Canis lupus familiaris: one gene and its partners. The protein of the gene in region 5 interacts with the protein of the main gene of each other region in a pairwise test. Links are inferred from orthologs where the notes say so. Each region holds a gene or a part of one and is shown on either strand. Other genes may lie near its edges.

Region 1 (3,500 bases), on a different chromosome or scaffold from region 5:
GTTGTAAATTCAAGCCCCATGTTGGATGTAGAAATTACTTAATAAATCTTTAAGAATGAATGAATGAGCGATGCCAGGGTGGCTCAGTGGTTGAGCATCTGCCTTTGGCTCACAGCATGATCCCAGTTGTGGGATCGAGTCCCACACCGGGCTCCCTGAGAGAAGCCTGCTTCTCCCTCTGCCTATGTCTCTGTGTCTCTCATGAATAAATAAATAAATAAAATATTTTTTTTTAAATTTTCTTAAGAGTTTACTGTAAAAGCACTGTAGGAAAGGATGTGCTGTGAGCTAGACAATGCCTAAAGAGTTAGGGATGAAAGAAGCTGAAAGCATGATTCCTGCAAGTTTCTGGTGAGAAAAAGAAAGGTAAATGAGTAGATAATTCTAAAACAGTAAGACAGATTATAATAGTGGTATATAGGGGGTCTTGTGGGAGCATGGTAGGTGCAACAAACCCAAATTGGGGGGAATTGTGGAACAGATCCAAATAATCAAGTATGTATTGAATAATATTTAGACACTGTGTGAAGGGGGTTCATCGATTTTCTCATTTAGTACTTAGAGCAACTCTGTGAGGTAGGTCATCTTTTGATCTGCCTCTACAGATGAGAAAACAGGTTCAGAGAGGTAGGTAACTTATCTGGGTTACTACCTTGCATAGGTAGGATTTGAACTCTGGGTTCTTATCCATCATAGTACCCAACTCTAGAATAGATCCCTCTTGTGTATAGCCCTCTGTATTTTTTCCTTCAGCTTTAATACAATTTGTGATTGTGGATTTGTATGAGTAATTGTCTCTCCTCTGCAAGACGTAACCGGTCTTTCTCAGTTTATAGTCTCACTGCCTACCTAGCACAGTACCTGCACCCAAGTGCTCAATAAATATTTTGAATAAATAAGTTCTGTTGCTTACTGAAATATGCTTACTAACCAAGAATTACAAAGAAACCTTAACTTTTCCATTAAATGTATTATTTATTACTGGAATCCTTTTGTGGTACTTTGGGATATCTCTGTAGTAACATTTATCACACTTCAAAGTTGCTAAGAATTGCTTGGTAGAAAGGCTGCTTTGATTAAAGAGTAACAAAGTACATATTTAGGATTTCTGCTTTGAATCTTTGACTTCCTAAGTTTTAAACTGCATTCTAAATTAGATACCTTTGGTAAAACACACTTAAATATGCAGTTTATATTTTCTTTCTTTTGTCCACCTCTTTGTTACATTCAGTGCTAATCCTTGTTTTTTTGTATTGATGCTAAAATAGTTAAAAGTAAGAAGCATAAGAGTAAAGCAGTTAAAAATAAGGAGTATGAAAGTAGGAAAGACACTAGTGCAACTGTATATTGGACAGTTGGCCACTGGTAACTGAGAATGTTTCCTTGTTATAAGAAAGGAAACGTAGAAGCATAAAAACTCAATAGTTTATTTATTATATGAAATACTTATTAATTTTTTATTTGGGCATCATTTGCCTGCATCCTAGTCAAACGTGTTTTACTGTATATCTCTGAGTACTTATTTCTTTCCAGACAAAATAAAATGACTGATATTTAATACTGCCATAAATCATTGACATGTTTGACCTGCTAAAGAGAAAAAAGTATTATGGTAAAATAGCCTCTGATGGCCAAATTGCAATGATCTAATGTGAGAATTTTTTACAATTCTGACTTTCATTATCTTTGCTTATAGCTTTTTACCTGCACCTACTCAGCTATCTCAGGACCAGCTTGAGGCTGAAGAAAAAGCAAGATCCCAGAGATCAAGACAGACCTCACTGGTCTCATCCCGAAGAGAACCTCCCCCATATGGGTACAGGAAAGGCTGGATACCTCGATTATTAGAGGTAAATAATTGTGCTAACACTTATTATAATACCCTTGTAAAATAAATTTAAACCATAGAACGTCTGCACATGAATGCCAATATGCTAGAAATCCTGGTGATGAGTTCCTAAGACATGTACTCCTCTTAGGGCATTGATCTTTTTCTTCTGGCTTAGTATCACTGCTTTGTGAACATGAGAGAATTATACCTGGTTGTGTCGCTTCTTAATGTCCAACTATTAAATGTACAAAAGAAACTAACATACCCTCTATAAATCTAGCAATTACCGCAGAGGGAAAATAATAGGAAAGTAAGAGGAGAAAATGAAAGAACAAGTTCATGTTCAGGTGCCTTTCCCTCCCTTCTCCCTATATGCACAATGCCACATAACCCTGCAGAGACAGCTTTCCTCCAGGGAAAACTCCAGCAGTGTTTCCTTTTCTGATTTCCTTCCTATTAAGTATAGTGGCAAGAGCACTGGCAAGGAGTTTAAAAGAATAAATAATAAGAAGTGTTTTTGCATCATACCTGTGCTGGTTACTGTTTAGTCAGCAGATCCTGACCTCTCTTCATCCGTTTTCTTGTTTTCAATTTGAGAATGTTTCTATATGTCTAATATACAGATTAATTTTTTAGAAGCTATAAGAGTTTTTTTTTAATATTTTATTTATTTATTCATGAGAGACACAGAGAGAGAGAGGCAGAGACACGAGCAGAGGGAGAAACAGGCTCCATGCAGGGAGCCCGATGTGGAACTCGATCCTGGGGTCCCAGGATCCCTGGGCTGAAGGCAGGCGCCAAACTGCTGAGCCACCCAGGCGTCCCAGTATAAGAGAATTTGATTGTTGGTTTGGAGGCAGTAAGGAGAAAGATGAATCTAGACTGATCTTTTTATATCTCTAGCTTGTTTCCAAAAAAGAAACTTATTTGACAGTACCTGTCCTCCTAGTTACTGTGTATCTTGTACTGCAGTTCAATACGTAATCCTTTCCCTAATTCCAGGGCAGATTTCTCATGCTTGACCACCTTTTTCATCTAGGGAGAAAAGCAAATATTTGAGACTTAACTATTTTGCCTCCCCAAGACCACTTCCTCTTTGATTGAGCCTTTTTCTTTTCCATCTCTTAATATTCATTCTGACTCCTGCAAATTTCCTTCCTCCACTTCCCAAGGAATGTACCTGCCCTATTAAAAATCTCTCTTCTTAAACCATTCATTTTTGTAGCCAAGTATCTTCATTTTATCACTTTCTTACATTCTTTCCTTTTACAGTTGTGATTTTTACCTTACAATGTGATTTTTACCTTACAATGTCCATGCCTTTACCTTTTTTCATATGCTTCCACGTGGTGTTCATAGTGAACTAAGCATTCATTGGACTGAAATCTGTTGCTTCACACCCTGCAAGATGCCATCTGCATTCTCAGCCTCTCCCATGTTTGGCATTCTCCCTGCCTACCAGAACACTCTGTAGAGCCTGGAAGACAAACTCCCAACTAGATCATGTCATAAAAAATTTCCTTTTTTTTTTTTTTTTCTCAGCCCTCTTCTAGACTTAATTAATATTCTAATATGCAAAGACCAGTCTTATTAATATTACTAAGGCATTGTTGTTGTTTCTTTTGTTTTCACTGATAGTATATTTGTAAGAAGCAGGACAAAATAAAAG
Region 2 (4,239 bases), on a different chromosome or scaffold from region 5:
AAAGGGCAGGCCCGGGAGAACCAGGGCCAAGCCCCACATCTGAGCTGTGCCTCCCCGGCCGGTCCCCTGGCCCGGCTCTATCCCTTCCTCCCCCAGGCCTGCCCTCACGGCTGCCCCCAATCTCTTCAGTTCAGCTGGCAGCTCGATAAGAATCAATAGGTCCACTCCAGAGCAAAGAGCAGAGCCGAGTGGACCAGGTCAGGCCCTGCTGGACAAACGGGCTGCTCGCGGTGACAGACCAGAAGGCCCTGTACCTCAGGATTCCCCAGGTTCACTCGGCTGGGGATGGCCACTGGCCCCAGACGGAGCAGTGGGAACTTCTTTGCTCCCATCCTTTTTACCTACCTAGGTCCTGGGGGACAGGCTTGAGGTCCAGGGAGGAGAGGCAGGAGGGGGGGGGGACACCTGCAGAAAAATCCTAGTAAGGATGGGGAGGGGGCTGGCCACAAGGGCTGACCCTACACCGTGTGGGACCCCCTGCGATCCCTTGATGGATTTCAGCCTCTGTTATTGGGGCTATTTTCCCAGCAGCAACTCTAGGAGGGTCTGACACACAGTAGGTGCCCAATAAATACTTGTTGGACTGTAAAGCACTCAGGAAGTGTTTGTTGACCCCAGGGTGTGGGTAAGGCTGACACACACGTGTTTAGAAATGAAGAGTGTTCGGGCGTTTAAATTACCAAGTGTCCCGCTGACGGCAGGCTTCCTTGGAAAGGGAGGGGAAGGGAGGGGAAGGAAGGGGAGGGGAGGGGAGGGGACCAAGAGGGAGGGGATTCCGAGAACCGACCTGTTCGTACTTGGTGGGTGACCTGACCCCGAGTGGGTGTTTGACAATACACATGGCTACGATGGGGCGTGGGTGCGTGCGTGCTAATGAACAGGTGCAAGGGGGTATGTTTGAGAACCGAGTGTGGCGGGGGTCGTGGTGTAGACTGGCAGATGGGAGACTCAGGGTTGAGCTTCTCTTCCTTTCCAGCCCCAAACTTTCCTTCCCCACGACTCCTGGGGCTCCAGGACCCCCCCAGATGCTCTCCACAGGTGGGAACTTGGGCTGCAGGCTGAGGATGGTTCAGAGATTCGCACCTGACGTCACTCACTTATCATCTCCCCAAACCCCCAAATTCCAATGTGCCGGGACCTCCCGTACCCTGGGGAGGAGGATCTAAGGACGTTATTTCCTGCCCCAAACTCCGCGTGGAGGGCCGGCTCCACCTGCTGCCCTGGTCCGTCCAGGTTGCTCACCGCCTCTGCGGGGGGTGGAGGGCGGCCTTGGCTGCAGGGTGCGGGGTGCCAGGGTGTTGGGTGCTGGGGGAGGGAGGCCGGGGAGGCGCGGCCCGGACGCGATACCCCCGCGGTGCACCTGCAGCCCAGCCTGGGGGGGGGGGGGGGGGGCGGGGCCTGCCGGGCCGGTCCCCACCCACTCCTGCCAGGATATAACTTCGGTGGCGGACGCTGCACCGTCCCTGGCCCGAGCCTGAGCCCTGGCCTCCCGAGTCGCCCTCCGGCCCTCCCTCCGAGCAGCATGAGCTTCACCGCCCGCTCCACCTTCTCCTCCAACTACCGGTCCCTGGGCTCCGTGCAGGCGCCCAGCCACCGGGTCCGGCCCATCAGCAGCAGTGCGGCCAGCGTCTATGCAGGCGCAGGGGGCTCGGGCTCCCGGATCTCCGTATCCCGCTCCACCAGCTTCCGGGGCGGCTGGGGGTCCGGGGGCTTGGCCGCGGGGATGGCCGGGGGTCTGGCGGGCATAGGGGGCATCCAGGGCGAGAAGGAGACCATGCAGGACCTGAATGACCGCCTGGCCTCCTACCTGGAGAAGGTGAGGAGCCTGGAGGCTGATAATCAGAGACTGGAGATGAAAATCCGGGAACACCTGGAGAAGAAGGGCCCCCAGGTCAGAGACTGGGGGCATTACTTCAAGACCATCGAGGACCTGAGGGCTCAGGTAAGGGGGCCACCCCAACCCAGAGCCTTGGCATACCCTGTTACGTGGGCGGCTTCTTCCTCCTCCCCCAGGGATTGGAATTTTAATGGGGTGGGGTGTCCGACTCCTTCCTGCTTTCTATCTCCACCCCGCCCCTCTTCCACAAGGAGGGGGTGCATGCCCTGGACTTCCCCCGCACACGCACGCCGGTTACAGGGACTCCAAGTGCGGTGACTGGGCATGGCAGGGCCCTTTCCCAGGCGAAGGGGAGAAGGGGAGGGGCGAGAGTCTTGCAGAGGAAGTCCGCGGCACGGAGGGAGGGACGGGAGATAAGGCCCCAGAAAGAGGACCTGGACACCTGACTTCTGCCTGAAAGAGGACAATTGGAGGGTTAAGCGGATGTGGCTAAGGCTGAGTCATCTAAGAGTAAACAGGAGGCCTACCTGTGGGAGGGGCCAATGGGGGCGAGCAGGGGGGAGGTGAACAGGTGCACTAGGAAAAAAATACCAGGAGAGGGCCGAGGAGAGGACTGACTGACTTCAGGGCAGGCGGGCCTCGGAGAAGGGGGGGTGGGAGACCGGTGGGAACTCTGGAATTTGGGGCCCCAGGAAAGGAGCGACAGTGTGAGGGGGCACAGGTGGAAGGGGGTGGGTGCACAAGGAGAACCTCTGACTATGCCTGGGATCGAGAAGTTTCCACTCAGACACAACACTGCCAGGCTCGGCCCCCATCACTGACTTCCCCTTCACGGAGCCACCTCTCCCCAATCCCCCAGATCTTTGCAAGTGCCGTGGACAATGCCCGCATCGTTCTGCAGATTGACAACGCCCGGCTCGCTGCTGACGACTTCCGCGTCAAGTAAGCCTGGGGCTGCTGGGGAGGCCGGGGTGGCCCCAAGAACCGTCTGGTGCCGGCTGGGCCACTCAGGCGGGGGCTCACAGCGGGATCTTTGGCTCTGGTCAGAGCGGGGTGGGTAGGAGCTAGGCTCCATGTATTTATTCACGGATATAACCCAGTCTACGAACATTGTCCCCCAAGAACCGAGAAGGCTGCCCAGAGGATTACCACCTGATCCAGACTCCGGCGGCTGGTTTGCGGGGGCCAGGGGCGCTCTCAGATGGCCTAGTGAGAAGGTCCTGGGTCAGAATGAGGCCCTCTGATCGCCTCCCCTCCCCCTGCCCCCAGGTATGAGACGGAGCTGGCCATGCGCCAGTCCGTGGAGAGCGACATCCATGGGCTCCGCAAGGTCATTGATGACACCAATGTCACTCGGCTGCAGCTAGAGACAGAGATCGAGGCTCTCAAGGAGGAGCTGCTCTTCATGAAGAAGAACCACGAGGAGGCAAGCAGGGGCCCCTGGCCAGGCCGGGAAGGAGGAAGCCAAACAAGTCGGGGGTGGAGGGCACTAGATGGCACAGGCCGCCTGCCTGTAAGTAGCTGGCAGAGAAGTTTAGAACTACCAGCCCGGGCTCTCCTTAATCAGATCATTGCCATACTCGGTCACCTGAATTGCAGTGTGATGGGGTCAAGGGGACATGGGTGAGAGAGCGAGGAGAGGACAAAAGATAGAAGCAGCCAGCACCACGTGTGAGGGCTGCTGGAGGAGTGAGGGCAGGTGGCGCTGAGAGGGCTTCCTGGAAGAATGTACAAGGAGGAGGTTGTGGAAGGAGGATAGATGGAGGGACAGAGTGAAGTGAGGGAGAGAAACCACCTGTAGGTGATAGATTTGGGCAGAGTGGGTGGCATTTTATTCATCGGCAGTAGAAAACCCAGGATTGGCATCGCCCAGAGTATAAAACCAAGAATCTTCTCTGCTGCTTTCTCCAGCTGATCCCACAGGTCTCCCACGAGGGACAGTTGCAGGAGAGGAGCCTTGTCGGAGCTCTGACCCCGAGTCTCTCCTCACTCTGATCCTCTCTCCTTTAGGAAGTAAAGGGTCTACAAAACCAAATCGCCAACTCTGGGTTGACGGTGGAGTTGGACGCCCCCAAATCTCAGGACCTCAGCAAGATCATGGCAGATATCCGGGCCCAGTATGACGAGCTGGCTCAGAAGAACCGGGAGGAGCTGGACAAGTACTGGTCTCAGCAGGTGCACGAGGGGAAGGGCTGGGTGCCCGGCTAGACACAGAGGCCTGAGGCTGTGGGAGGGAGGCGAAGGAGGGGGGACCTGAGGACTATACCCACCCTGCAGATCGAGGAGAGCACCACAGTGGTCACCACACAGACCGCTGAGATCGGAGAAGCTGAGATGACCCTCACGGAGCTGAGACGTACCGCCCAGTCCTTGGAGATCAACCTGGACTCCATGAGAAACCT
Region 3 (4,207 bases), on a different chromosome or scaffold from region 5:
TCCCTGTTCCTATTCTTGATCCCATCTCTACAGACCAGTTTTGTCCTCTCCTTACCGGCAGCTAGAACTCTAAGAAAAGCAGCGACTAAACAGCTTGGGTCCTGTGGGCAGTTATAATCCATTATATCATTAGCACAAAACTTTGCCTGTTACAAAACATTTTGATAAACGGCATTTTAATCCTAATAGGCTCCCAAATTAAGCACTACTAGTACAAGCCTAGCAATAATAATAAGAATAACAGTAGTAGTAGTAGTAGTAATAAAGTTGACTTTTCCAATATTACACCGCTGGACAGTAACAGGCTTGGGATGGGCAAGTCTTGCCACTTCACAAATTAGTGAGGGGAGTTACTGAAGGGACTCTTCCTTGACAGGAAAAAGTTTCTATGACAGCCTGTAAGAGAAGTAGAAGCTAAATATGTGGAAAAACATACAGCCAAACTTTGTGCGGACATAGCTGGGAGATTGAGAACTCACTTCACAAAAGAATTCATTGCCACGGAGCCCACAGAACCAGGATATCCAAGACACCTCCTCTGAGCTGCTCATCTTCACGTCAGCTGGGAAAAAAAAAAAAAAGAGGGTAAACAAAGGCCAAGCTCCCCCACCCTGTCTCTGGTACCTTCCCTCCTCCCCACACTCTGCTCCCCGACCATGGAAGAATTTGGAGCCCCCTTTTCTTAAAGGATCCTAGACCCTGGCGCACCTGCCTCCAATTCCTCTTATTCACTAGAGGCTCTTTGGAGTCCCACCACTTCTGAAAAACCGACAGGTCTAGGCTCACCCGTCCTACCCACACCCCTAACAATCCCGAAAACCAGCACCCTCTCCTCTTTACGTCAAGTCCCTCCCTCGCAGGGCTCTCGGCTCGAGATCCCTACCCCGCAGGTCTCCGCATGTCCCCGACACCTTTCCCAAGGGTTCCGAAGTTTATCCTTTCCAAGCAAAAGCCAGGACCCTTTCCCCTCACGACCTGGAGGTGGCCCTGGGTCCCTCTCACAGGAGTCCCCACACCCCGCCTCTCAGGCCAACCCTCCCTCCCCCGGTGCCGGACCGGGTCACTTCCTTCCCCACCCCCACACCAACGCGCGGAGACCCCATGTGCCGCGCCTAAGGACGGAAGACTCGATGCGGCAACGACCTCAGACTCACCGGCTGGGCGGGGACCGGGACCGGGACCGGGGTGGGGGAGGGGAGTTGCTGCTTCCAAAGAACCGCGACGGCTACAGCGCAGGCCGCGGACCCGACCGCGGCAGGCGAAGTAGCGAGGGGGGGGGGGCGGGGGGCGGTGTGTGTGGAAATTGGGGAGGGTGGGGAGAGGGCAACGCGCAAGCGCCAAGGGTCGGGCGCCGCAGTGAACGCCGGGAAATGGAGTCCCAGGTAAAGAGAAACTGGCGAAGCGAAGAACAGGCGAACTACGAATCCCAGGATGACCCACGAACGACCCTGGCGTCGCGAGGCCCAGGAACAAGACGCTCGGGGGTGGGGAGCAGCGGGATACCACCGGAAGCGGAAGCGCAGTACCCCGTTCTGGGCCAGGGAGTATGGGAAATAGAGTCGTAGGGTCGCGCAACTGAGGGGCCGGGAGGGGGCGGGGAAGGAACGGGGCTGGAGGGCTGGATTCCTGCAACTCCCCTCACACAGCGAGGCTCTGCCCCAGGTGTTTGCCGGCAGCCCAGGGTGCTGACCTCGTCCCCGACTACCCCACCGGGTCCTTGTTGCCTGCGGAGCCTCTCGCCAGAGTCAGGCCCGCCACTGGAGGCCCCACCCGGGCCGGTGCTTCACCCCGGGGTCTAGTCTCCTCAGGCGGGAGGTGAGGCCGGGCTCCTTGCTTGCGGGACGTGGGAAGAGTGGGCTGGGCTGAGGTGAGCGGTGTGAGAATTGGGACGGCCTGTGCGCTAACCTGAAGTGGCGCCAGCCATTCTGCTGCTCGTCCCCTTGCACTTTTCCATCTCCTCTCAGAGCTTGAATGGGGCCTTCTGCTGCGGGCACTAAGTGTGACCTTCGAACCCTGCTCAGAATAATGGTGAGGGGTGGCGTGACGTTATTTCACTTCACGGCTTCGGGGCATTCCACAGGTTTCCTCCCGCCTTCTCAGAGCCCTCCTTAACTCGGTGGTTTCGCAGGTCCAAAAACTGCGCTCGGAGTGGGGGGCCACGTTCCGGGAGGCGAAGGGCATTGTGGGGCGTTATGTAGAAGTAGGACCCCAACCGACAGAGCCTCTGTCCTCGCGCTGCCTGGGCACGTGGCATCCTGGAGGGTCCCACCGTGCGAAGGCTCAGCCTGGCGCTTCGCACACGCCCGCACCCTCAAGTTCTGCTTTGTGGTGGTTGATTTTTTTTTCAGTCACACATGTGTGTCTGGGTCGTGTGGCTATTGGACTGGCAGCACCTTTGCTTAGATAAAATTTTTGTGGTACAGAGACCCTGTGGGGTCTCCACAGAGACTGGAGTTTCTCCCCCAAATCTTCTTCTTGCATCCGGAGAAGGTTAAAAGTCTGTTTTTGTTTGGAAAGACCCTACCCTGACATAGGATCAAGGAAGATTTAAAGGGCTAGGCTGATTGTTTTCTTAACTGCACGTCTTACCTGGTGATCAAGTAGTTTGAGAGAGAAGCTGTTTTTACTTATTGGTGAGGATAGGGATGGGCCTCTGGGCAATTCTCATTAAATCTTTGTTAAGTTAACCTTTACGAGGGATATGGGCTGTTATTGTATGGCTCCCTGTTTTTCCACATGACCTATGGTCCTTAGGCCCTGTAGGGTCCTAGGTTGTGGGGTCACTTAGAGTATAAGACGGGTTTTTGACTTGGAAAAGGCTACTTTTCCTCATCCCAGCAGATCTGTGGAGGTGGTTCTGGTCAGTGCAGAGCCACCAAGGGATTGGCTTGCTTGTCTCATACGCCCTTTAATTAGTCTCATTGTCTCAGTTCTCCCAAAAGCCATGTCCAGGCCCTCCCTCATCACCTTCACCCCGGCCACCAACCCCAGTGACCTCTGGAAAGATGGGCAGCAGCAGTCACAGCCTGAAGAGCTGGAGCCCACCCTGAATGGGGCTGCAGCCCGGGCTTTCTATGAGGCCCTGATTGCAGAAGAGAGCAGCATCCCTGCATCCCAGAGATCTCAGCCTGAACCTGACAGGAAAAGAAAGAGGAAGAAGAGAAGAATGATGGGGGAAGCTGCTGTAGGAGCCTCAGCAGGACATGGACAAAGGAGATCCCTTGAGGCAGAGGACAAGATGACCCATTGGATACTGAGGGCAGCCCAGGAGGGTGACCTAGCAGAACTAAGAAGGCTCTTGGATCCCCACGAGGCAGGGGGAGCGGGGGGCAATATCAATGCTCGGGATGCCTTCTGGTGGACCCCCCTGATGTGTGCTGCTCGAGCAGGCCAGGGGGCTGCTGTGCGCTATCTCCTGGGCCGTGGAGCTGCCTGGGTGGGTGTCTGTGAGCTGGGTGGCAAGGATGCTGCTCAGCTGGCTGAAGAAGCGGGTTTTCCTGAGGTGGCGCGCATGGTCCGAGAGAGCCACGGAGAGACGAGGAATCCAGAGAACCGGTGAGAGGAAGCCTTAACCCATGCCCATCTTTCAGTGTGTTCTGCCCTTCCTAGTCCCTCCATGCCAGAGGCTCCGGAACAGACTCAAAGATTCTCTCCCTGATCCCCAGTGTAGGTTGATATGGCAATGGAATCGAGTAGTAGTAAATGTGAGCTCCCTGTTTTTTTTGTGTGTGTGTTTTTTTAAGATTTTTATTTATTTATTCATGAGAGACACAGAGAGAGAGAGAGAGGCAGAGGGAGAAGCAGGCTCCCTGCAGGGAGCCCGATGTGGAACTCATCCAAGGTCTCCAGGATCACACCCTGGGCCAAAGGCAGGCGCTCAACCGCTGAGCCACCCAGGTGTCCCAGCTCCCTGGGTTTAAATTCTGATTCTACTTACTTGGTCAAGCAACCTAATTTTTATGTGCCTCATTTTCCTTATCTGAGAAATGGGGGGTAACAAGAGCACCTGTTAAAGAATTGTGAGGATTTAATGGGTCAATATATGTAAAGTGTTAGGATGACGGTTTACCATATATATATATATATAGTTAATATATATATATAGGGGATTAACTATATACATATATATAGGGGATCCCTGGTGGCGCAGGGCGCGATCCTGGAGACCCGGGATCGGATCCCACATCGGGCTCCCGGTGCATGGAGC
Region 4 (4,058 bases), on a different chromosome or scaffold from region 5:
CTGAAAGGCCAAAATATGTCCCCCATACTGCCAAAACACACAGGTGACTCAAGGTCAGAATCTGGAGGATGGGCCAACCATTGTTCTGCATGGATTCTTGATCTAAATTAATCTAAACCTTGCCCCAGTGGGGTGTTCAACTGGGTCAAGGTATGGTCAGCAGGCTAACCATTGTTCTTTTTTTCCCTATGAAAGATGGGGCCGCTGCAGATGAAAATATCACACTCTTCCTACTAGTGATTGTGTTACTTTTTAGATGGCTGGAATGGCAGAGCTAACGTTGCTTAGATTATTTTCCCATCTTTTTTGTGTGTATGTGTGTGGACATTGTGTCTCCTATTTTCACTTTCTGGGAAATTTGCCAGTTTTTCAAGGACTGGGTAAAGAACAAAATAAATATTTGTAGATGGTTTAAAAGGAGAATGAGTATGTTGGATGCCACTCTGCCCATCCGAAGAAAAGCAATCTTACTGCCTTTCAGATATTTTAAAGTAATTAACTCGAGAACTTCAGAAGGTTGATTGGACTAGTTTACTTTTCAGATTTGTGACCGTGTGTGTGTGTGTGTGTGTGTGTGTGTGTGTGTGTATGTTGGGGAGAGGGGAAGTGTCAAAGCCTAGGCGAAGGAGTACAAACTCTTTTTAAAGTTCATTTTAAGTGATTGAAATTGTGTGAAAAGTAAACAACCTCTTTGTATGTGTTAATCAGGTTCTAAACAGTTATCGCCAGAAAGTGTTTACTTAACAACATTCGGCACATAGGATTTCTTTCTTTTTCTTTCTCTCTCTTTTTCTTTTCTTTTCTTTCCTTTTCTTTTTTTCTTCTTTTCTCTTCTTTCTTTCTGGATTTCACTGAAATTTGGGATGTTCAGCAGTTGGCTGCTTAGTAATACGTAAATCAGCCTGTTTGGGGAGGTTCACTCTGTCTGTGTCTGAGATTAAAGAAACCAGAGAAGTGGCTTCCAGCGCCTGCCGGTGACCCTGTGTGAAATGTGTCCCTTCCCTGGCTGCGGAATCGGGGCAGTCTGCAGCGGTGCAAACAGGCAGGTCTGGGTCCTGGGTGGGGAAGCCCATCACCTGTTGGGGCCTCGGGCGCGCGCGGCGCAGGGCGGGCCCGGGGGCAGGGGCAGGGCCCGGGGTCGGGGACAGGGGCAGGGGCAGGGGCAGGGGCGGCTCCGAGCACAGCACCCTCCACCCCCCCCACCCCCCCGCTTCCTCCGGGACAGTCTGGCGCGCGGACGGACGGACGCGGGGACGCAGGCACGGAGGGACGGGGGCGGCCCGACGCTGGAATGCAGTTTTCTCGGGCTTGGGAGACTTTGCACCGGAGCGGAGAGTAGTTTGGGGTGGGGTTTCGCACGGTCCCCTCCTCCCCACCCCACCCCCGGGCCCCCTTCCAGGCGCTTTCTGGGAGCTCTCAGAACTGCGCTCTCTGAAGTTTAAAGAGCAGCGAGGAGCTTGTGCCGCAGGCGGGGACAATGGAAGAAAGCGAAAGCCAGAAATGTGAGCCGTGCGTCCCGCGCTCAGCAGACGGCAGACAGAAGCAGGGTAAGTCCCCGGCTCGCCCGGAGATGGAGTCAGGGCCCCGCGTGCTCCGCGCCGCCCGCCGCCCTCGAGGGCCCCGACCTGGCGCCGTCCTGGGGCGCAGCGCTGTCGGGGCCCAGGGCAGACCTGGGACCCCTGGGTCCGGCTGCATCTCTGGCAGGCCCTTCTCCAGCGGCAGGAGCGGTGGCGGGGGGTGCCACATTGGGGGCACAGGGAGCAGTCGGTATGTGCTCAGTCTCCAGGCGGTGACAAAACACACCGCCCGGGGCGGCTTTCGGTCCGCGCAGCTCCGGCCGCGGGGGAAAGAGGAGCCGCGTCTGGGAAAAGCCGCCCCGGGGACCGCGGCGTTTCCATTCATTGGTTGGGGGCGGGAGGGAGTCCCGTTAGGCAGATGCCTGCTCCCTGCAAGTTTTGCGGAATTTTCGAGTTACGTTACAGACTGCGGGGACGTTTTCTTTTCCAGATCAGAACTGCAGGGCGCCGCTGGTAACCTCCGGATGATAGATGGGGCTGTGTGAATCTCTCAATGCTCTGATTCAAAAGTCGGGAGTTGTAAGACCATCTTGGTAAATTTTCCGCAGGCAGTTTTCCTTTCATTGTGTTTGTGATCGGCTTGTCTTTTCCGTAGGGAATTTCCAGCAGCTTATGTTGTTCCAAAGAAATTGCACAGCGGGGCTGGGTGGCCAAAGGACTTCTCTGCTCTCCGCTCTCTGACGTCTGTGATGCCTGAGCCTATCATACCGGGTCCTATAGGCAGCCTGTTGGTAAACCCGCACAATCCGAAACCGTCCCCGCCCACGCCACCCCGGGTTCAGGCGGCGGCCAGAGAGCCAGAGGAGCGCTTGCGGGGCGGCTGTGCTCCGAGTGGGAGTAGGGATTGATTATGCACAGGGGAAAAGGTGTGTGTTTTAAAAAGGCCAAAGGGAAGTAACAAATGACTCATCTACACTGAAAATGCAAAACTAAGCTACGCAGAAGAAAATGGAATTGCGAGAGATAGAACACCCCTGCACCCCACCCCCACCCCCCACCCCTTACTCCCTCCCCGGTGAAACTCAGGAGACCTTAAGCTTAGTAAACCCTGAGGAATCCCCCGGTTTTACAGTCACCAGTCTAGGTATCTGTGTTTGTGCTTCTAAAACAGAGCACGCTCCTCCCTGAGGGCGCCTGGTCGGAGGGGTCCAGTGGAAGATAAGGTTTCCCTTCCATCCCCCACCCCCACCCCCAATTCGATAAGAGGGGAGCCTACAGCAGGGATTCAGTCTTTGGGCCTCTGCTGAAATAAATGACACAGAATCTGGAGGGGCAATTAGAACGGGACCAATTTAAGAAATGGCTTTCAAAAAAGATGCTGCAGAGGCTGGAGAGATGGTCGGGGCTGAGGGAGTGTGATCACTTTATTCATTTACTCATTCATTCAGTGAATATTGAACATCTGTTATGTAGTAGTTACTGTTTTAGCTGCTGGGGATCCAGCAGTGAACAAAGTCGTTGGAAAATACTTGCCTTCATTGAACTTATGTTCTAAGAGCCCAGTCTGGAGGGGAGAGGGTAGTAGAGAGAGGCAATGGACAGGTAAGCAAAAATATATAGCATGTTAGATGGCAGTGTTGCCAGATTTAGCGAATAAAAATTACAGGATGCCCAGTTAAATTTGAATTTCAGATAAACAAGGAATAGTTTTTTTTTTTTTTTTTTTTTTTGCATAAGTATAGCCCATGCAATATTTGGGACATACTTCTGCTGAAATTATTCATTATTTATTTGAAGTTCAATTTTAACTGGGCATTTCCTATGTTATCTAGCAACTCTATTAAGTGGAAATAAGACTACAGGGAAACATAAGCCAGGAAAAGGGAACAGGGAGTACACAGGGTTGCAAGTGAAACTGTAGTAGACAAGGTTATCAGGGAGATCCTTACTCGTGTATATTTGAATAAACCTCTGACAGAGGCAAGGGAGGGAATAGGCAAGAACATGTTCATAGAGCAGCAAGGCCGGGAGAAAAGAGGTTAAGAGGTAATGCCAGGCCGGGTCACACAGGGCTGTGAGACTATGGTAGAGATTTGAGCTTTTATTTCAGAGGAGGTAGGGAGCTGCTGGCAGGCCCGACTTGTCACATAAAAGGGAAATACCGGGTGCTATCCTGAGAATAACCCCAGTAGGGGTAGGGGAAAGGCGGGAGGCCATTTTGGAGGCTTCTGCAGTAAACCAGGCAGTAGCTTGGACCAGCAGGTAGTAGAACAGGTGGTGATAAGAAGACAGGTAGGTTCTAGATGTATATCGAAAGTGAAGACAAGGAACGCCTGGGTGGCTCAGCCATTGAGCATCTGTCTTTGGCTGGGGGCCTGATCCTGGAGTCCTGGGATCGAGTCCTGCATCGGGCTCCCAGTGAGGAGCCTGTTTCTCCCTCTGCCTGTGTCTCTGCTTCTCTCTGTGTCTTTCAGGAATAAATAAATAAAATCTTAAAAAAGAGAAGGCAGGAAGGCCAAAAGAATTTCCTTAGAGATTCAA
Region 5 (3,500 bases):
GAACAGAACCATGATGCAGAAAATGGTCCTATCCTCATAGATGATAGCAAGTGAGTATCTCCCATGAGGGCAGTGGTCCCTGGGCCCAGGCGTTGGGGCAGGCCTCTGCCTGAGACCCCCTCTTTCCCGCTGGGCCTCCTGAACCCCTGACTTTCATGTTCATCCCCAGATGTCTGTCCTCTACCGAGAGCCTGCGACAGCTTTCTCAGCAGCTCAATGGTCTTGTGTCCGAGGTACCCCAGAACTTGAAACCCAAAGTGGGAGGGAAATGGGGAGGGAGAATATGACAGAAAGAAACTGAGGCAGAGATTTCCCAAGAGGGAGGGAAGAGCTCAGGAGTAGCCAGCTCACTGGGTAATGTTTGCCTGACTCCTCTCCCCTTTGAAGTCTTCCCTTTGAAGCTCCCCCAGGTAAAGGGGTCCGACCTTGAGGCTGCTTACATCATTTGACCTCTCTGCAGAAAGTGCATAATGAGAGCTGCCCAGGAGGGGATGGATGATGACGGGGGGCTAAGAACCAGGAGGAGTGGCACAAAGGAGGGGTTAGTTAGGCAGAAAAGTTTGCAGCTGATGGGCAGGATGAGGAGTCAGAGGGCTTAGGTACTGGGGCGGGCAGAGTGCGCCTCCATGTGAGCCCTTTCGTGTCTCCTAGTCTTCATCCTACATCAATGGGGAGGGCCTGGCATCTTCTGCTAACATAAAGGATCTAGAGGTAAGTGGCACTAGACCATGGTCTCAGGACCCTGCAGGCCAGCCCCCATCTCCTCCCACAGCGGGGGCTGGGTGCCCCGCTGCCAGCCCAGACAGCCCCCAACCCTAATGACTGCTCTCTCTACCTCTCCCCAACCCTCGTCCAACTCCTCCTCCTCCTCCTCCTCTGCATGCGCCTCAGAGCCGGTACCAAGAGCTATCACTAGCCCTGGACTCCAGCAATCTAACAAACAAACAACTCAGTAGCAAGATAGAGGAATTGGTAAGAGTCCAGTGGGGTCCCCTGATTCCACACTGCCAATCTGGGGCTCCAGTTTTTCCCTGGGGCTCTGAAGAAAGGGGCTGGGGGACCCTGGTGCTAAGGGAGAATGGGGTGTCGGGGGGTTTGAGTCTCAGGTGGAGGGACCCCAGAGCATGCGGCATGGCTCTCTGTGGCTGCCTTCTTTGCCTCCTTCTGTTCTCCGGACACCCCTGCTTGAGTCCTTTCCATACTTGCCCCAGGGCTGTAGCCTCTGGAGGAAGCACTGGCTTGGCTGGTGTGCTCCTGCCCTGACCCAACCCCTAATTTGCTCCATCTTTGAACTTGGATGAGTCACCTTTCCTCTCTGGGCTTCAGTCTCCTGAGGAGGTAGAATTAGAGGTGTCCAAGGTCCCCTTTAGCTCAGAGAATCAGGTCCTTCTCATTCCTGTATCCCTGCTATTAAGAACAGAACCTGGCCTGTGGGTACTTAGGCCCAGGGTGCTCAGTAAATACTTGTTGAATGAAAGCACCCTTCCAAATCACGAGCTACCAGAAGGGTAGTCTCTTGCTTCTCAACTCCTGTTTCTGGAGGTTTATCCCTGTCCTTTCACAAGGACTCTCATCTGTGTAGCTGTGAGCAAAACTACCCAAGACCCAAAGTCTTTTCTTGGGAGCTTGAGGAGACTCTTATCAGTTCGTGTCCACATGAAGTTTCCCCTTTGAAACCCATTCCTGGCCCCTGCCCATCCCTCAGTCTTGGTGTGCAGAGGGCAGTGAAAGGGAATAGACCGAGTTACCTCTCTTTGGCTCTCCCCACAGAAACAACAGAACCAGGAAACTCTGGATCAACTGGAAAAAGTAACATGATATCTTTTGTCTGCTGATTATGTGGCAGAGGCGTTTGGGGAGGATTCAGATGTAGAGGCCCATTCTCATCTTGGTCTGCTCCCAGCCTGGAGGAATAAAAGGCCCCCTTGTGTCCCCCACCCCTTCCCTACCCCTGCCCTCCTCCCACTACCTGCCACCACGCCCCCCTCCCCCCCAGTCTGGCCACATTGTTGGGCCTATCCTGCTCCACTGATGGCATATTTTGGGATCACGTCCTTTGCTGTTTCATCTCTGCCCCCTTCCAGTCAAGGATGTTGTGTCCTCCTTCCTGCAGGAGAAGAAGGAGTTTGAACAGAAGCTTGCAAAGGAGCAGGGGTCTCTAAGGGAGCAGCTGCAGGTGTGTGGAGCTGGGATCTCCCTCCTGCCCCCAGGAAATGCTTCCATCCCCTCTCTTCAGCACCCCTTTACCTTCTTTCCCAAAGGTTCACATTCAGACCATAGGGATTCTGGTGTCTGAGAAGACCGAATTACAGACAGCCCTGGTCCACACACAGCAGGCAGCCAGGCAGAAAGCAGGTGGGAGTCTAGACATCCTCCCACCCCATAGCCTGGCACGTTGGCAGGCCTTTGGTGGGATTCCTTCCTGGGCTCCTCTTTGAACTCTGTCATTCCAGGAGAGTCTGAAGATCTTGCTAGTCGCCTGCAGTCTTCCCGCCAGCGTGTCAGTGAGCTGGAGCGCACATTGTCTGCTGTCTCCACACAGCAGAAGCAGGTGGACAGGGTGAGCCCAGCTTCTGACCCACCTGGCTGGAGGTGCAGCTTCCCCGACAGGGGAAGGGGAAAGGTCCCTTCCACACGGTGGAGTGTCTTCCTGCCCACAAGGCAGCATGGGCTGTTTCTTGCTGCTTTAAAGTTTTGAGGTGGTTAGAAGCAACCAGGGCTGAGCTGACTGTCTTGGGGGACTTAGCAGTTGGGGCTGCTTTCTGGACTGAGCACTGAATGTAGAGTCCAGATCCTGAGAGACAGCCCTGCCCCCTTCACTGGCTGTGGGTCTTGGCTGAGTACAGAACAGTCTTTTTCGTATGTTACCATTTGTATAGGAAGGGAAGTATGTGTGTAATACAAGGTGTGTGAAAGGAATTATAAAAACCCAGGGAGAGGAACAGATCACCTCTGTACAGTCTGAGTGGTGGGCCGTATGAACAGATCATTCAAAAAAGGGACAGAGGATCACAATGCAAATTTAATTCCACTCCTTATCCCTGCTTCCCCAACCCAGGGAGAAAATGTAGGTGAAGAATCAGACGGACTGGATGTTTAATTCTAGCTTTCCGATGGGGATTTTAGGCAAACGACTGAATCTGTGATATTCTGTGTTGTTCACCTGTAAAAACAGACACAATCGTGCCTACCCCATGTGGTGGTCGCAAAGCTTGAATGTGATTGTTAGCATGGCAGCTGCTGACATGCTCTGTGAAGGGTCAGGAGTGTTCTGACGCTACTAGTAGTTGATAGCAGTGCCACTGTCTGGGCCTCTGCTGGCCAGCTCTGAATCTCTCCCACCCTTACCAAGTTCTAGTCCACGGCACATGACAACTTGGGCTTGGACATGGCTTTGAACAAAGTGTCAAGTGTGGCTAGGGTGGGTGAAGAAGTGTGGCTGCATCTTCTGCTGCCCAGCCCATGCCTGACCCTGCCTTTCTGTATCTGCAGCACAACAA
Region 6 (4,138 bases), on a different chromosome or scaffold from region 5:
TCGACCCGCGCGCCCCAGGACGGAGTGCCCCCCCCTTGCCCGTCCTCTCACCGCCGGGCCCTGCCCAGCATCCCGGCCTTATGCACTGCCCCTTCCGCCAGGCCCCGCCCGGCCCAGGCACGGCCTGACCCCGCCCCGGGCACCGCCTGTCGAGCCATCCTGCCACGCCTCCCATGCCTGCAGCTTCTCGCGAGGGGCAGTGACGGCCCCTGTGGCAGGAGGGGCTGCCCCAGTTGGGGGGTGAGGCTGTCGCTCTCTATTTTCAAATGTTGCTGTAGAAATAAAGACCGTTTGAATCTGAGTCGGTCTTGTTTTGGGGCGGAGGCCGGGGGCTCCTAGTGTCTCTAGGTTGGGGGTGAGGTCGGGAGAGGCTGCGAGCGAGCGTGTGTGTGTCGCTCAGGTCCTGTCCCGCGCTGCTGGAGCCCAGATATTTGGCTCCTATCTCGGATTTGTTTGGGGGCCTCACAGATCCAGTTTTTTCTAGCAACCTTCATCTCTGAGATTCTAGAGACCGCGGGCTTGGAATTCTGCCCCTTACCAAGTAAGCCATTTCACCTTGAGCGAGTTACCGAGACTTTTCCATCTATACAATGTGGGTGACGACACCCTCCGGGGGCACTGTCTGAATTAGAAGTGCCAGCACAAGACCCCCCCAAATAAATGAACTAATGCTAACAACTCCGGGAACTGCGAGGGTAGGGATGACTACCTCAGCCAGACGTGAAACGCGTCAACCCTAGCCCTAAATTGACCTCATCGTCGGGACGCCATCAGGTCCCCGGGAGCTGTTCTCAAGTTCAGGTACATCCATACGGAGCGAACTACAAGCCCCAGAATGCAATGCGCGGCGATGATGGGGCGTGGGCTAGGAGACGCGGCCTCAGTTTACGCCTGCGCAACCGGGAGAGAGTTGGGCAAAGTAAGGAGACTACAAGTTCCAAGAAGCAATGCGGCAAGGCCCCAGTCGGGAATGTTTGCGCCTGCGTGTCGCGGGCGGGGCCTCTGGGGCGGAGCGGCCACCATCTTGAAACGGGAGGCGGAGCAGAGCTGACTGGGAGCGACCGAGCGGGCCACCGCCGCCGCCATGAACCCCGAATAGTGAGTGAGCCCCGCCCGCGCCGTCCGGCGCAGCCTCGATCCCGAGTACGGGGCTGTACGCTTACCGGGGTTGTCCGGCCTGGGTCAGGACTCAGCGGCGCCCCCACATCCGGGTCCCTCTTCCGCTGACCCCCCCCCCCTCACATCCGGGTCCTGCCCCTCCCCCTGGGGGCCCCAGGACCCTGGCTCGGTACCCCGAGTTCTTGCACCCGGGACCCAGACACTGCGACCCCAAGGGGCACTACTTGGAGCCCGAAGCACCGGTCCCTAACAGGCCTTATTGGTCAGGTGAACCCGCAGCCTCGGTCTCTCCAGGCCTCAGTTTCCCCACCTGCTGCTTGCAGTGGCAGTCTGGGTGCTGACGATGGTCCCGGCGTTTTGGAGCCGGTCCAGCCTCGGGCCTTTTAGGTCTGACAGTAAATCTTTCTATTTTTCCCGTTCTCCTGGAATCCGGTTCCTGGGGCTGGTCGGACGCGGCAGGCCCCGAGGCGCCGCTCCGGGTCGCTCTCCCGTGGGTCCTCCTCTCCGGGGCTACAGCTTCGCCCCTTGCCTCCGTCTAGCCGTCCTGCCGCTCCTGGAAACCAGTCCCTTCCCGCCCTCTCCTCACCTTTGCGCAGGCCCCCAGCGCCACCGTCACACCCCTTACCTTCGCCGTCACGCTGTTGATGAAGTTTAGATGAATATGGCATTTGTTTCTCCCATTCCAGTGGGATTCTCTGTACCTCAGACTCTCCTCACTTCTTGGTCACTCCCCCTGCGGATAGGTGGCCCATATCTCTGCCCCAGACTTCTCATTGACAGTTTTCCCCAAGTGTCAGTTGTCTTCTTCCTCTTCTGTCACTTCCTTTTTCTCCTCCAGATCCAGGCCTCAGATTTCCTTAGGTAAGGGTGAAGCTCAGAGCTGGATTATAAGGGACACAGAAGGGAACTAACAGGCTCTCACAGAGACTTTGGGAGTCTGAACCTGGTTTCCAGTCTTAAAGTTAACAGCTGTGTAACTTAGAGCAAGTCACTTCCCTCTTCTGACCTCTGGTTTCCTCATTAGTTAGAAAGAACACCATCCATTTCATAGGGCTGATGTGAGGCATAAGTGAGATGATGCATTTGCAGTAGTTAGCACTGGATCAGGCACAGAGTAGGAACTCAGTACTTAACTTTAACTGCCGTCATTGCTACTCGTTGACCACCTCTTCTTAGAGGCTTCATACCAGGCTCTTCACATAGATATTCACTTAACGAGTTCTAGGCTGGACCCTAACTACCCTCTACTGGCCCAGAGACCACGGAGTCTGTCAAGTGTCAGGGTAGGACACTCAGCTTTTTCTCCTAAGGATTGTGATCCTTGGCAAGTCGTATCCCTCTCTCTGCCTCAGCTTTCTTCTCTATAAAGTGGAAATTCAGACTCAGCCCTTTGGGCCAGCTGTAATATGGGGAGAGGTGTCAGCCTTCCCCTTCCCAGGACTTGTGAGAGGATCTTGTGAGTGCTTTAATACTCTAAACCAAGGCAAGTCTCACAGCATGAGAGAAGACCATAGTTGTAATGGCAGATGACATGGCTGGTGGGCTCCCTGCCTTCCTTCATATCTTCCCATCCTTTCTCTCTAGTGACTACCTGTTTAAGCTGCTTTTGATTGGTGATTCGGGCGTGGGCAAGTCATGCCTGCTTCTGCGGTTTGCTGTGAGTAAGGAGCCTCCCATACCATCCACCTGGGGTCCTGGCTGGTGGCAGGAGGGAGAGGGGGCAACACTGAGCACAGGAGGTCCAAGACCTCGGAACCAAGGATGAAGTTACAGAACCTCCCGTAGCGTCTCTGAGCAAAGACACAGGGCTGACAGGTTGGGGTGCTGAGAATGAGGGCTTAGCAGTTACAAACTTGGCTGGGGCAGGGTCCTGGAGGGAGATTTTCCAAATGGGCTTTGGGCTTGTTCACCTAGGCCATTTCATTGCTCCCTGCTTTTCCAGGATGACACATACACAGAGAGCTACATCAGCACCATTGGGGTGGACTTCAAGATCCGAACCATTGAGCTGGATGGCAAAACCATCAAACTTCAGATCGTGAGTGTCGCTCTTCCCAGTCCCTGGTGCAGAGGCAGCCACCTTGGGAAGGGAAGGGCTCTGGGCAAGTAGCTCAGAGCTGACCTGCCCTTCTTTCTTATTGTCTTATAGTGGGACACAGCTGGTCAGGAGCGGTTCCGGACCATCACTTCCAGCTACTACCGGGGGGCTCATGGCATCATTGTGGTGTACGATGTCACCGACCAGGTACTCCTGGGGTCACATCTCCAGCTTTGCCTTCTCAGCTTTGGGTCTTTGGTTCGTTTTTGTTTTGTTTTTTTTCCTTAGGATTTTATTTTTTTAAGTAATCTGCTTACCCAACATAGGGGTTGAACTCACAACCTGAGATCAAGAATCACATGCTCTACTGACTGAGCCAGCCAGGCACCCCAGGTCTCTGGTTCTTATTTCTTTTTACTCTTCCCATCCTGTCTTCTGGATGCTGCCTTGAAGGAAGACTGTAGTTGGACTCATTTCACAAGGGAAACAGCTACAGAAAGTGCATCCTCCTGAGGCCCTGCTCCCAGCCATTGGCAGAAGCAGGCCTTACACCTCCTGGCTAAACTTGCCACCTTATTCTAGACTTTATAGGCACCTACATTTTGTAAGGGTTTAGTCAGCTAATCGGTTGCTGTGCTGGGCTTATGGCTTCCTGGGTGAAGACACTATGGAGAAGCAATAGGAGGGCTTTAGACAAAAGAGGTGAGGCAGCTCTGCACTCTGGGTGCATTGCGAGCAGAGATAGGAGCCCTGTGTTTGCTGTGGCAGCATTAGTCATGTGTCACTGGCAGCAGTGGAGGTATTAACATGGTGAAATAGTCCCACTGTACCTTAAGGTTTATAGAACTTGTCATGGTCTTTTTTTTTTTTTTTTTTTTTTTGGTCATGGTCTCTTAACACTCTAAAGAAGTCTGCAGTAGCTTCCCATTTTACAGATGAAGAAATGGATCAGAGTGATAAGGAGACTTGCTTGGGGCTGTG
Region 7 (4,162 bases), on a different chromosome or scaffold from region 5:
CACCCTGGGAGACACACCCAGGGACAGCACTTGATTTGGGACAGAACCCTTGGGCTTGGAAATGAATGGAAAATGAGGGCTACAACAAGAAGGAAGGGTGTGCATAGAGGAGGAAGGGTAGTGGCAGGAATTAACAAGAAAGAATAGAGGAAGACAAGAATACAGGGCTATAAAAAAGAAAGGAGGCCAGAGAGAGCTGAGGCTTCTGAGAAGTCTGAGGGCTGCTCCCTACCTGTTTGTGGTGCCTTTCGGGGGACCCCTTGACAAGGCAGCTGCGGCTGAGGCGGAGGTAGCCCCCCAGAACCAAGATCTCCTCCGCAGTCGGGTACCGCTTCTTCCCAACTCCAGGAACTGCAACATCAGCCGCGGCTGGGGTGGCGGGAGTGCTGGGGGCTGCTGGGGGCACAGACCGCCGGGGGTTGACTGTGAAGGTGTGTCCACTGCGGCGAGGGGTCCCCACCCCTGGCCCTGCCTTCACCCCATAGAACAGACGGTTCATGAGGGGATCCCCAGGGGACTGGGGAGCAGGTGGGGCTGGGGGTAGGGGAAACAGAGGGGCTGTTGGTGGGGGCCGGAGATCCACCGCTTCCTCTTCCTGCCTCGTAGAGCCTTTAGTCCCAGCGTCCTCTGGTGGGAAGGGGGAGGGCACAGAGCTACAGTTCTGCAGGGTTCTCAGAGGCCTGCTCAGAGCCCCTGCCTTCTCCTTCTCAGCCTCCCCTTCTCCAGCCTCTGTACCAAGAGGCCCCAGATACTTCTCAGCAGCCTCTGGGGGTTTCTGAGGTTGAGTCTCTGTGTCCCTGGGTGTCCGTTCTCGAACCTTTCCAGAGTTCAGGGTCCATTTCCAGCCTTCTGTCAGCCTCAGGCCCCTCTCACTATCCTCCACAGGGCCGGGCCTTTGCTCTGCTGCCTCCACCTCTCCAGAGCTGCTCTCTGGAGCCTCCCTTGTCAGGGTCTCTGACACCTTTGTAATCTCTTCTGAGGCCAGTGTTGGAATTGGTCTCTCTTCTTTTCTCCTACATTCCTCCAAACAGTCTTTTCTTTCTTCTTCTGAGCTGGGCCTCCACCCTGATGCCTCCCGTTGTACCAAACTCTGTTCCTGAGACTCTCCAGAGTCGGGCCTCCATTTATGGGACTCTGACAGCTCCAACTTCTGGTTGTCAGATTCTGCGGGGCTCAGTCTACTTTCCACCACCTCTTTTCTCCTGGGGCTTTGTTCTGCAGGCTCTGCCAGTCTCAGACTCCACTCTGGAGTTTCTCCAGGGCTCAGCCTCCATTTCCGTGCCTCTGACAGTCTAGAGCTCCTGTCTCCAGACTCTCCTGGGCTCTGCCTCCAGTCCCAAGCCTCTGAAGTTCTGGGGCTCAACTCTCGGGCTCCCCCTATCCCCAACTTCCTCTCTCTGGCCTCCCTGGGACTGAGCCGCTCTTCTTTTGAGTCTCTTCCCTTGGGGCTCTGATCTCGAATTTCCCCAGGACTGGGTCTCCTCTCCCGGGCCTCCAAAGGCCCAGGCCTTCTCTCTGCAAGTAACTCTTCATTGCGCTGCTGCTGCTGCTGCTGCTGGCGCTCCTGCCGAATGAATCGGTTCTGGTGCACCGGCCCAATGGCTTCTAGGAGGACAGCCGACTCATCTGGGTCTGGAGGTCCAGCCTCTGTAGTCCCAGGGGCAGGGCTAGGTTCTCCAGGAGACAGACCAAGCTTGGCCCGGCGGCGCTCCAGGATTCCCCGCTTCCAGGCTGGCATCTGGGACAGACGATCCCGCTCAGCCTTCTCCCGGCCACGAAGGGCCGCCTCCTCCTGCCGCCGTCGGGCCAGCAGCTGTAGCTTCCAGTCCGGGATGGTAGCCATGGTCGCGCGGAGGTAGGGGTGGGAAGTGCTGGGCTAGAGAACAGGAAAGAGAGGCTCCAGAGGTCCTGGGGGTAGGGGGAGGGGAAGCAGAGGGGCAGAGGAGGGACACCGAGATGGGCCCAGGCCCGGGAGGGGAAGAGTGAGAAGATGGAGGGCAAAGTAACGGGGAAACAGAAAGTGAAAAAGCAGTGGGCCCGGCGGAGGTGGCGTCGCGGCCCTGAGAGGAAGAATAGAGATTCAGGGCGAGGAGACAGCAGTCAGAATTGGCAGCGCGGGGTTCATGGTATCGGGGAGGCCCGAGGATGTGAGCGGAGAGAAGGGCGGAAAAGGAGTCGTAACGAGGGAGGCGAGAGCCCGGAGCGGCCGGGGAGCGGGGGCGGGGGCGGCGCGAGGAGGAGGACCAGGCCGGGTTTCCCCACCGCCGCCCCAGAGGCGGGGGGCGGGGGGGGCGGGGAGGGGTCCGGGAGTCCCGCCGGGAGGGAGCCGGGACTGGAGCGGCGTCGGGGAGCCGGGAGGAGCCGGCGTCCGGGGAGGCAGCGGGGCGCGGGGCGCGGGTGCGCCCACCCCGGGGCTCCCGGAACCCCGGCGCCCGCCCCCGCCCCTCCTGCGGCAGCCCCCGGCCCGGGCCGCGCCCCGGCTCCGCGCCCCGGCTCTGCCGCCAGGCCCGGCTCCCGGCTCAGCGGCCCCGCGGAGCCCGCCGTCCCCCCGGCTCGGGGCGCACCGACAGGCAACCGCGGCTCGACGGGAGGAGCCCGAGGTCCGCGCCGGGGCGGGCGGCGCGAGACACCCCCGCCCCGAGGCCGCAGCCCCGCAGCCGACTCACACGCGCGGGGCTCCCACGGGAGGGGTGCGGAGGAGCAGGCGTCCGAGGGAGGAGGAGTGGGACCGAGGGAGAGCCGGAGACGCGGGCGGGGAGGCGGGAGGGTGACCGCGACCCGGGGCCGGGCGGGGGGCGGCGACCGCTTTGTCTGAGGACAATGGGGAGGGAAGGGGGCGCGGGCGGGGCGGCGCGGGGCGGGGCGGGGCGGGGCGGGGCCGGCTCCCGAGCCCGCGCGTGGGCCCCGCCTCCCCGGCTCCCCTTCTCGCGCCCGAGCCCCGGCCCGGCCCGGCCCTCCTGCCGCGAGCCCCGGAGAACGCAGGTGTCCAGGCCCTGGCCCCCGCCCCGCCCGCCCCGCCCGCCGCGCCCGCCGCGACTCAGGCCCCTCGAGGGACTCGCAGAGGAAGCAGCCGCTGCCCCGGCCGGGCCCGCCCCTCCCCAGGCGGTGGCCTCTCCCGGCCAGCCTGCGTCACTGCGGGGTCCCGGGCGGCCACCCGGAGACGTACTCGGAAGCCCACGGCTTTGGTAACTGGCCCCCACGACAGCCGCTGCCCAGTCTTTAGCTTCAGCCCGCGTCCCATGGGTCCCGGTCCACGGCGGGGGAACTGGGGACTTGGAGGAAGGGGGCTGGGCCTCGGGGGTGTGCCCGAGGGGCCGCCGCCCAGCGGTCGCCAGAGGGCGCGGTGGCCGTCCGGACTCGACTTCGGCGTGCCTGGGCTCTGCTGGCCTTCCTTCCAAAGTCAGCCCTCTAGTTAGAGACACACTGATGGACTGCATGCCATATGTAGAAAAAACGGGCTGAATTTTATTTTTCCGCCGCAGACGTTCCTCGGGAGGGCAGAGATCTCTTAGTCACCAACATGAAGGGCGGGAGGATCCTCTCAGGTTAGAGGACAGAGCCCAGGGCCAGCGCCTAAGGAGGGGCAAGGCCTAAGGAGGGGCTAGGTGAGTCAGCAGAGCTGGCATTACCATCAAACCTGCAGACCCTGATCCTACTCCTAGGAAGGGAAGCCTGAGGGGGAGAAGGGGATCCCTGAGGTGTAGAAGGGAGCAACAGTGGGAGGGAAGTGGGCAGGCCCACCCTTCTTCCTTAGAAGGACTGTTCTTAAGGTGGGGTGGAGGTGGGTCAAGGCCTAAACTGTGAGGAAATACTGAAGTTCCCCACCCTTCCTCCGTGGTTTGGTGAGAAGTAGATCTTGGGGTCCAGTGGTTGAAATTCAGGATTAGGGTATGGAGCTGGGCCCAAGGAGTGGAGGCTCAAACAGGGGAAGGGATGGCCCCTTCAGTCCATAGATTTGGGCCTCTGGTCTGAAGCAGCCAGAGCCCAGATGTTAAAGGGCTTGGGACCAGGTTAGCTCCTCACTCGGCCTCACCTTCCTGGGGCCGGGAGAGCAAGTGCAGTTTTCTTTGTAACTGGGCCCGGAGGTAGCGGAGGTCTTGCTGGTCAAGCCCATGAGCCAGGCCCAGGTACAGGGTAAGGAGGAGAGCAAGGAGGAGGCGGT

Evidence for each region.
Region 1: the proteins of GOLGA2 (region 5) and SNW1 interact in binary tests that used the Homo sapiens proteins (3 or more experiments, as listed by UniProt). The two-hybrid records come from large-scale screens. The link is inferred for Canis lupus familiaris from reciprocal best matches to the Homo sapiens genes GOLGA2 and SNW1.
Region 2: the proteins of GOLGA2 (region 5) and KRT18 interact in binary tests that used the Homo sapiens proteins (3 or more experiments, as listed by UniProt). The two-hybrid records come from large-scale screens. The link is inferred for Canis lupus familiaris from reciprocal best matches to the Homo sapiens genes GOLGA2 and KRT18.
Region 3: the proteins of GOLGA2 (region 5) and GPANK1 interact in binary tests that used the Homo sapiens proteins (3 or more experiments, as listed by UniProt). The two-hybrid records come from large-scale screens. The link is inferred for Canis lupus familiaris from reciprocal best matches to the Homo sapiens genes GOLGA2 and GPANK1.
Region 4: the proteins of GOLGA2 (region 5) and KIAA1217 interact in binary tests that used the Homo sapiens proteins (3 or more experiments, as listed by UniProt). The two-hybrid records come from large-scale screens. The link is inferred for Canis lupus familiaris from reciprocal best matches to the Homo sapiens genes GOLGA2 and KIAA1217.
Region 6: the proteins of GOLGA2 (region 5) and RAB1B interact in a two-hybrid assay, tested with the Homo sapiens proteins (2 studies listed by BioGRID and IntAct). The link is inferred for Canis lupus familiaris from reciprocal best matches to the Homo sapiens genes GOLGA2 and RAB1B.
Region 7: the proteins of GOLGA2 (region 5) and PPP1R18 interact in binary tests that used the Homo sapiens proteins (3 or more experiments, as listed by UniProt). The two-hybrid records come from large-scale screens. The link is inferred for Canis lupus familiaris from reciprocal best matches to the Homo sapiens genes GOLGA2 and PPP1R18.

Annotation. Positions count from the first base shown.
Region 1 is NC_049229.1:50,824,154-50,827,653, reverse strand, and holds part of SNW1 (SNW domain-containing protein 1), read left to right. Parts: intron 1-1,696; coding exon 1,697-1,850; intron 1,851-3,500. UniProt on the Homo sapiens protein: Involved in pre-mRNA splicing as component of the spliceosome. As a component of the minor spliceosome, involved in the splicing of U12-type introns in pre-mRNAs.
Region 2 is NC_049248.1:44,456,511-44,460,749, forward strand, and holds the start of KRT18 (keratin, type I cytoskeletal 18), read left to right. Parts: upstream 1-1,439; 5' UTR 1,440-1,522; coding exon 1,523-1,942; intron 1,943-2,696; coding exon 2,697-2,779; intron 2,780-3,106; coding exon 3,107-3,263; intron 3,264-3,847; coding exon 3,848-4,012; intron 4,013-4,114; coding exon 4,115-4,239. UniProt on the Homo sapiens protein: Involved in the uptake of thrombin-antithrombin complexes by hepatic cells. When phosphorylated, plays a role in filament reorganization. Involved in the delivery of mutated CFTR to the plasma membrane.
Region 3 is NC_049233.1:1,285,955-1,290,161, reverse strand, and holds the start of GPANK1 (G patch domain and ankyrin repeat-containing protein 1), read left to right. Parts: upstream 1-1,407; 5' UTR 1,408-1,815; intron 1,816-1,826; exon of another isoform or gene 1,827-1,905; coding exon of another isoform or gene 1,906-1,954; exon of another isoform or gene 1,955-2,633; intron 2,634-2,930; 5' UTR 2,931-2,944; coding exon 2,945-3,555; intron 3,556-4,207. Other genes in the region: CSNK2B (casein kinase II subunit beta), read right to left, coding at 480-562, 1,906-1,954.
Region 4 is NC_049223.1:7,015,156-7,019,213, reverse strand, and holds the start of KIAA1217 (sickle tail protein homolog), read left to right. Parts: upstream 1-1,258; 5' UTR 1,259-1,477; coding exon 1,478-1,547; intron 1,548-4,058. UniProt on the Homo sapiens protein: Required for normal development of intervertebral disks.
Region 5 is NC_049230.1:55,329,393-55,332,892, forward strand, and holds part of GOLGA2 (golgin subfamily A member 2), read left to right. Parts: intron 1-6; coding exon 7-50; intron 51-169; coding exon 170-233; intron 234-651; coding exon 652-711; intron 712-891; coding exon 892-972; intron 973-1,748; exon of another isoform or gene 1,749-1,770; coding exon 1,771-1,809; exon of another isoform or gene 1,810-2,107; intron 2,108-2,113; coding exon 2,114-2,176; intron 2,177-2,261; coding exon 2,262-2,355; intron 2,356-2,453; coding exon 2,454-2,560; intron 2,561-3,492; coding exon 3,493-3,500. UniProt on the Homo sapiens protein: Peripheral membrane component of the cis-Golgi stack that acts as a membrane skeleton that maintains the structure of the Golgi apparatus, and as a vesicle thether that facilitates vesicle fusion to the Golgi membrane.
Region 6 is NC_049239.1:51,533,912-51,538,049, reverse strand, and holds the start of RAB1B (ras-related protein Rab-1B), read left to right. Parts: upstream 1-1,338; 5' UTR 1,339-1,462; coding exon 1,463-1,506; intron 1,507-2,703; coding exon 2,704-2,776; intron 2,777-3,061; coding exon 3,062-3,157; intron 3,158-3,268; coding exon 3,269-3,364; intron 3,365-4,138. UniProt on the Homo sapiens protein: The small GTPases Rab are key regulators of intracellular membrane trafficking, from the formation of transport vesicles to their fusion with membranes.
Region 7 is NC_049233.1:625,434-629,595, forward strand, and holds the start of PPP1R18 (phostensin), read right to left. Parts: upstream 2,801-4,162; 5' UTR 2,667-2,800; intron 1,877-2,666; 5' UTR 1,844-1,876; coding exon 233-1,843; intron 1-232. Other genes in the region: NRM (nurim), read right to left, coding at 3,542-3,573, 4,034-4,162.